Ovis aries: one gene and its partner. The protein of the gene in region 1 purifies or fractionates together with the protein of each later gene. This does not show direct contact. Links are inferred from orthologs where the notes say so. Each region holds a gene or a part of one and is shown on either strand. Other genes may lie near its edges.

The links.
Region 2: the proteins of BBS12 (region 1) and BBS7 purify together in Homo sapiens (co-immunoprecipitation; 3 studies listed by BioGRID and IntAct, counting the BioPlex papers as one, with this or other methods). This does not show direct contact. The link is inferred for Ovis aries from reciprocal best matches to the Homo sapiens genes BBS12 and BBS7.

Annotation. Positions count from the first base shown.
Region 1 is NC_056070.1:35,163,509-35,168,063, forward strand, and holds the start of BBS12 (Bardet-Biedl syndrome 12 protein), read right to left. Parts: upstream 2,859-4,555; 5' UTR 2,749-2,858; exon of another isoform or gene 2,721-2,748; intron 1-2,720. Other genes in the region: centrin-4, read left to right, coding at 3,962-4,024, 4,336-4,476. UniProt on the Homo sapiens protein: Component of the chaperonin-containing T-complex (TRiC), a molecular chaperone complex that assists the folding of proteins upon ATP hydrolysis.
Region 2 is NC_056059.1:3,743,266-3,747,086, forward strand, and holds part of BBS7 (Bardet-Biedl syndrome 7 protein), read left to right. Parts: intron 1-912; coding exon 913-1,077; intron 1,078-3,821.

The DNA of each region.
Region 1 (4,555 bases):
ACTTGGCACTTAGCTGAGGCCCTTTAACTGCTTCCAAAATGTTCCTCCTTTACGTGGTTGTCAGAATTAGCTTTGAAAAACACAAACCTAATCAGATCATTCCACTACCTAAAAACATTTATCTTAGAAAAAAGAATCTTTATTCCTAGCTTGATATATCTGACTTCCAGCTAATTTATAAGACTAATCTCTTCCACCTTTTCTTATAAATCCCATGATCTTACCACACTACAACACACATGTACATTCATTTTTGCACATGTTATACTCTACTCTGAATATCCTACCCTTTCTTCACCTTGGCAAATGCTATACATCTTTCATGACCTAAGGCAAATGCCTCACTTTTTTGGTACTGCTGCTGCTAAGTCACTTCAGTCGTGTCCGACTGTGTGACCCCATAGATGGCAGCCCACCAGGCTCCGCCATCCCTGGGATTCCACAGGCAAGAACACTGGAGTGGGTTACCATTTCCTTCTCCAATGCATGAAAGTGAAAACTGAAAGTGAAGTCGCTCAGTCGTGTCCAACTCTTAGCTTCTTCCAATTCCTCAAGGAGTAGTAGTATCTCCTTCTTGGGCTGCCAAAGTACTTTCTATATACATCTACTAAGGCACTTAGCATCCTGAACTAAAAATGGTATGTTTACGTCTGTGCCTTTCTCCCTCACTACTCTCTAGGTTCCCTGCCTTCTTTCATCTTTATACTCTACACTCAGTTTCTCTCAAACTCACCCAATAAATGGCATAGTATGTGATACACAGAAAGCATTAAATAAATTTAGTAGATTTAAGAGTGATATGGGTTTAATATTTTTCTAGATTAATATTATTAATGTTCTAGAGTAAAATTAGATTAGTAAAAGCTATTTTTCAATCCTGAGTACTTCCTAAGACCTTGAAACTGCAATCTACACCCATAATTGAAAAATCATTTTCACTATAATATCCCAAATATAAAAGCCTAAATTATAAAATGATGCAAAAACAGGTTAACACATTACTCAGTCTTTTAATTGCCATAAGATCAAACTTGATCCAGCAAAGTCTAAAAATTTGAATTGCTTCTACTTGGTCATTATTCATTTCTGATTTCAGAAATCCCTTTAATACTAGTTGTAAAGATGAAGTGTATGCAGATGTGTATAACGGACTTTTGGACTCAGAGAGAGAGGGAGAGGGTGGGATGATTTGGGAGAATGGCATTGTAACATGTATACTATCATGTAAGAATCGAATCACCAGTCTATGTCCGACGCAGGATACAGCATGCTTGGGGCTGGTGCACGGTGATGACCCAGAGAGATGTTATGGGGAGGGTGGTGGGAGGGGGGTTCATGTTTGGGAATGCATGTACACCCGTGATGGATTCATGTCAATGTATGGCAAAACCAATACAGTATTGTAAAGTAAAATAAAGTAAAAAAAAAAAATAAATTAAAAAAAAAAAAAGATGAAGTGTATGTTCTTGAAACCAATCAAGAGCAACTTTCTCAGTGAGATTAATGGCCTGAAATATCCATATATAGTATAGTGAAGTGACTGAACATTTTACTTAGTTCACAAACTATCTTGAATTTGCATCATTTTAATTTCCACTGGGTAACTTTACACATAAAAATCACTTCTAACATTAGAACAGCCCACCTATTTTCCAGAATCCTAATGAGTTGTTTTTTTTTCCAGTCAATGATTACAGTGCTTGTAATGCACCTGGGATATAATGTAAACAAAACAAGATGTTGGCTTTGGAAAACGTGCCGTTTCTACTTACTGAAATAGAAGTGATTTGGGAGATTACTTCAAGAATATACTTTGCACATGTTTCTTTCTTTACCTTCAAGAAGATAAGGGAGATAAAGGGAAAACCCTTTGCAAAAGTTAATTCTTCCTGAACCCAGTGTTGGAGAATCCAGTATGATTTTTGGAAGTTACTCTAGAGAAGGCACTGCAGGAGGTATAGAGTCCAGCCGTGTAAGCAAATAAGCGTTAGAAGTTTTAAGAGACTATCACCTCATTCCTACCCCCCAAACTTAAGCTGGCCCCTGACTAGATTTAGACCTGGGCTGAACCAGTAAGTCTGGCCCTCTGGACAAGAATTTGCTTTGGACGTCTAAATCTCGACGGTTACTGAGTCAAATGGATTATTAGGCTACCTATGCTGGACTCAAGTGAGGATCTATGCTGGAAATGGTTGGAAAACCGGCCAAATTTGGCAAAAAAAAAATCTTCCCAGTGGAACAGTTGAATGTGATAATGTGGTGGTGGTGGTGGTGGTGGTGGTGGTGGTGGTGGTGTGTGTGTGTGTGTGTTTTGGGGGTGGGGGTGGGGCAGTAGAAAAGGCTGATAGCGATTATACGTGAGTCCAACGTGCAAAGAAACGCTACAACACAGGTAAAAACTCTTTCCTATGCTAGGAGTTTTCAGGTGAATCCCAAGGGCCCAAGAACACAGCACGCCTCTCCTGGAAAGAAATGTTGCCAACTAGACGAGAGTCCCGGCAAACCACGGAGGAGGGAAGCAGTTACAAAAGTCAAGGCCCGCACTCTGTGGAGGCTGAGGGACGTCTAGCGGCGCAAGCAAAGGACTCTCGTAATCTGGCCGGATGGTAAACCTAAACCTGGACCAATTTACCAGGCCCTAGAACCTCATCCTTTCCTCCAAGCCCCAAAGGGTCAGAAAAAGAAACAAGAGCTCCCTCACGTCTCCACCAAAGACTTACCATTTGGTAGAAACACCTCCCTACTAACCTCGCTCTCGTCTCCATCCCTACGAGACGCTCGCCGCCGTCAGGCTGGCACTGGGAAGCCAAAACGCCAGGGTAAAGAACCTTCCCTTACGCCTCGTATTTTGCGCAAGCGCGCAGCAAGCCCAGCTGAGCGGGCTGGTAGTTTTGGTTGCTAAGAAACCAGAGGGAAAGTTCCGCTTAACGGTAGGCGGGTAAAGGCAGACCATTACGCTACTGGTAGAGACCAGAGAGAGGGGGCGGGCCTCGAGGGTCTTCTTTTCTGACTATTGGGTGAAACAACTGTCAGTCAGTGGGGGCAAAAAGCCTGGATAGGCGGGGCTGCAGGAGAGATCAGCGAAAGCGGCCTTAGCAACGGTTTGCGGGCGGTGAGCTACTGTTGGGCAGCTCGGCTGGCGGGTAAAGCTGGGAGGTGCCCGCCGGGGGCGCCGATTGGAGACATGGTGAGTGCGAGAATGCAACTTCTTACTGGGGCTGAGATTGAAATTTCTCCCTGAAATAAGGAAGTTTTGTTTGGTTTTGGAAATGTATTATTCGCCTCCTTTCTAAATTATCCTCGAGTGTCATTAGTAACCCCTCCATTCGTCGCCGAATAGAAGCGCACTGTCCGTAGCTCTAGGAACGGAAGAGCGGTTCTCCAGTTTATTTTTTCCCCTCTTTAACCCCAGCAACCGTCTTACCAAAGGCGTTGGAGACAGGAACCACTCGCTAGCCAGAAACGAGTTGAATACAGAGAATAAGAGGCTTTAAAACTGTTGAAGAATATGGGCCTCTAGGAAAGACATCCGGAACTCTGAAAAACTGGCCGGGGAAGCTACGACCTCTGCTATTGGAACTACTGAAGACGACACCAGTGTAGCTGCCGTCCAGGGATGAAGAATGCGCTGCTACCACGACCAACTCTTAAGATATGTGAAGCTGGTGTCTAGATACACAGCAACATGGAATCTCTGATACTACTGCCTCTTATCCCAGAGCTGAAGACAAGATACTGAAATGAGGCTACAGCAGAAAATGGCAGGAAGCGGGAAGATGACCTCCATCTTCCCTGGATATTGATAATTGGTCCAACCTTTATTCTTCTCCAGATCCCTGGAGTAATTTTTTTAACCTGAAAAATGTATTTTTTTCATTTCCCAGTCTGCAGTGTAGAAAAGTATGTGAGAAGGTGGGAAAAGATACGATGTTTCAATTAACCATATCTCACACATTTTATTATGAGACATACAGGCACAGATGAAAGTAAATATGTCTTAAACACTGCTGTTCGGATATACCAAGTAAGGCCAATTTTTTCCCATATAACATCTACTATTCTGGCATGTCTTCTTTGCCTTTTCTGCTTCTCAAAGGGCACTAAGTTGAAAGAAAAACCCAAGATGTTAAAAAGAACCAGGCTTTCCAGCAAGATATATATTTATAACTAAAAGCATAAATGTTAGCAAAGGGAAAGGGGAAAATTCTTGAGGTTCATTATATGGAATAGGATGCTTGACTATGTCTATTATATTTAGTTAGTCCATTAATTCTGGTTCTGGTACTTCTCCCAGTTACACAGTTTATCTTTCACCCACATGTGTATTTATTACAGGCATCCAGACCAAGTTCAGACCAATGGAAAAAAAATGCAGCAAAAATTGAATTGAATGAAACTCAAAAGCAAGAAATTAAAGAGGCCTTTGATTTATTCGATGTTGATGGGTCTGGAACCATAGATGTGAAAGAACTGAAGGTTCTGAAATTACTTCTAATTCTGAAACATTTAAAAACCTTATCATTGATTTGTTGCAATCTTTAAGTCTTTCATTAAC
Region 2 (3,821 bases), on another chromosome or scaffold:
GCTATTTTTGCTTTGTACCTTTTTTTGTAAAAGCAAAAATCCTCTTTGGATTTTTTTTGGTTACTGAAAATAGGTACTCATGTAGGCCTTACATAAAATCAAAATGGCATAAAGTGAGCTTTCAAAAAGCGGGGGATACCTGTGTTAATATTTCTAATAGAGATGAGTCTTTGTCTTCTTTTAGAGGCTGATTTGAGCTGGGCTCTCCTTGGATTATAGTCTTATATATGTTCCTACATGACATTATGGAAATAATGTAACTCTCTGGGTTTTGGTTTTTTTTTTTTTATCTGAAAATAAGGTTCATGTGGAGATCTCCAAAGTTTCTCTTAAAATTCTTTCTGTACCTTTAATTTGATAAACTTGTATTTTCTTAACTATCCTTTTGATTCATTTTACATTTATTTAATTTACTTTACAACCTTTTATGTGTATGTGTGATTTGCAGGATAGAAATTTAATTCCATATCCTTGCAAAATAGAAGGTATCATTCCTTAACTTTCCTAGTGGCACGCAGCTAGTGTTTCAAACCCACATCTATCTGTCTTAAAAAAAGCCCAGTTCTTTACTTTCACATTATGCTGATTTTTTTTCCTTACCTTGTGTATGTTTTGTAGTTTGTATAGTAAAAATACTAGATGAACTTATGAAAAATGGAATTGACCTAAGTAAACTGAATTTTTATTTGTAAAGGCATATTATAATGAAAACAAGCTTTTTATGTCATTTAACTGTTAAAGTACAGGTATAGCAAAATGTTTATCTGATGGGTAAGATTAACCTGAGAAAAATTAAGTGGCTGCTTTTATGTTTGTAACTACTATTGCGAAATTCTGTTTTTTAATGTATTAAGTACATGTAATACCTCTGTGTATTCCCACACAAATATATGTACTTTTATTAAATTGCAGACCCATGAATACATTGACTTTGACAGGTCAGTTCAGTTTTTCTGAACTTCACTCCTGGGTGGTTTTTTGCATGCCTGAAGTTCCTGAAAAACCTCCAGCAGGAGAATGTGTGACATTTTATTTTCAGAATACCTTCCTGGATACACAGCTTGAAAGTACCTACAGGTGAATAAAACTTATTTGTGTTTCACATGTGTTTTTACATAAATGGAACTTGTAAATTGTCATAGGTTTTAAGACAGTAATTTGCAAATAATATAATTTGAAAACTATACTGTTCAAGAGAATCTACTGAAAAGCAAGTGGGACTAATGATTGACTAGCAATAAATATGAAAGATCAATATGTTTCCCATTCTCAACCATAACCAGTTAGAAAATAAATTGTTTTTTTTAAATGTTTCAGAGCAACAATAACAAAATATTCATAAAAATATGTGGGAATGCTCTTCCTTTAGAAATATGTAGAACTTCATGAAGAAAACATTAACATTTTATTGACATAAAAGATTTGATTAATGTGAAGACATTGTAAACATGCAAGTCCTTCTCAAATTGACTTGAACATTTATCCTAATTCCATTTTGAATTACAAGAAGAATGACCATTGAGTTTCTTTATGCAAAAATAAGAAATGGCTCCGAATTTGAAATCTTAGAATATGCAGGCTTTTGAAGCTACCACATTATGAAGTGAAGGTCATCATTCTCTTACACTCTTCCTCAAGCTCACAGTTGCGCTCTTGCCCTCTTCACTGTCACTCCCTTGCATAGGCCTCCCTACTTTCTGTTTCTGAATATAGTGGAGACCAAAATTTTCTTCTCCTCTGTTCTTTTTCAGAATATGTTGGGTAAGGCTGATTTCTCTGTAGTCTGCTTTTACCTTGTACCCTTATACTTTTTCTCATTCTCTCACAGCTATAGGTTAGTATTGTCTGTTTGATCTTTTGTTTTTATTTTAATTTTGTTGTTTGGAGGGGAGAGGGCTTCTTATCTTCCCTCTGTTTCTGTCTCTTGATTGCTTCCCTGAGCAGTTTACTGAGGTATTCTACTTCTGCTTTCTAGCTGAGACTTTACCACGCTAAGTTCAGCAAACAGCAGTGCACACGTAATTTTACCTTTGGGACCAATTTAGCCTTTGGGACCAAGAACTCTCCAGAAATCTAATTGGTTTTATTTTATATATATATTTGTTTCCCCAAATCTTGCTTATATAATTGGTTTTAGCATCAGTTCTGAGGAGCCATTTCACTGTACCCTCTAGGGAATCTTATCTGTGTCTAAGCCTGGAATCATGACTTCTGTTTTGGAGTATGACAGCGAACCTCACACTTTAATCATAGTAGACAATTTGACAGGCCCCTGGCATGTTATATATTTTTACAGTAGCACATCTTTGCTTTTTATCATTCTGTATCCTTAAATATTCTTTTCTTAACAGTCAAAACTCTACTTATCTTTGAAGGTCCAACTCAGTAGCTACATTTTTGAAGTTTTCCTGGATGCTCTTCTCTGTTCCCATAGCATTTTATTCTTACCTGTCTTAGACTTTTCTTGTTACTTGTTTGAAGTATGTAATAATGTTTATGCAAGCTGGTCTCTAAACCAGATTGTAAGCTTCTGGGCAGGGTTTATTCCTTGATTGTTTTTGTTTGTATCCTCACGTGTCTAACACATGGCTTTGAACATAGTGTTGTTTAGTCGCTAAGTTGCGTTCACCTCCTTTGCGACCCCAGGGCCTGCACTTGGCCAGCCTCCTCTGTCCATGGGGATTCTCCAGGCAAGAACACTGGAGTGGGTAGCCGTGTCCTCCAGGGAATCTTCCCAATCCAAGGATCTAACCCAGGTCTCCTGCATTGCAGGCTTATTCTTTACCACTGAGCCAGCTGGGAAGCCCCTGGGACATAGTGGTACACTCAATAAATGTTTTTTTGGGTACCTGATTAAGAAATATATATTGAAGAAGACCCTGCAATCTGACTCCTAGGCATATATCTGGAGAAAAACATAATCCAAAAGGTTACATGCACCACAGTGATTACTGCAGCACTGTTTACAATAGCCAAGACATGGAAACAACCTAGACGTCCATCAGCAGAGGAATGGATAAAAATGTGTTACATATATACAATAGAATATTGTTGTTGTTGTTCAGTCGCTAAGTTGTGTCCAACTCTATGCTCTCTCCTGGGCTGCAGCACACCAAGCTTCCCTGTCACCGTCTCCCAAAGTTTGCTCAGGTTCAAGTCCATTGAGTTGGTAATGCTATCTAACCATTACTCAGCCATTAAAAAGAATTAAATAATTCCATTTGCAGCTATATGGATGGACCCAGAGAGTGTCATAGTAAGTCAGTCAGAGAAGAAGAAATATGGCATGACACCCCTTATATGTGGAATCTAAAAAGAAATGATACAAATGAACTTACTTACAAAACAGAGACTCACAGACTTAGAAAACTAGCTTATGATTGCCAGGGGGAATGGTTAGGGACCTTGGGGAAGGTCATGTACACACTGCTGTATTTAAAATGGGTAACCAAAAAGGACCTATTGTATAGCATATGGAATTCTGCTGAATGTTATGTGCCAGCCTTGATGGGAAGGGGAGGGGGCTTACGGGAGAATGGGTACTTGTATATGTATGGTTGAGTCCTTCACTCTTCTCTTGAGACTGCCACTACATTTTTAATCAGCTATACCTCCATACAAAATGAAAAGTTTAAAGTTTGGATTTAAAAAAAGAAGAAGTATATACTTTGGAGACAGACATACTTAGGTTTGAATCTGAGTCTCTGTGACTCACCAGCTATTCGACCTTAGCTATGTTACTTTCTGAGTTTCAGTTTCTTTTCTGAGGAATGGAAATAATAGTACTTACTTCACTGAATTGTAATGCTTAAAGGAAGATA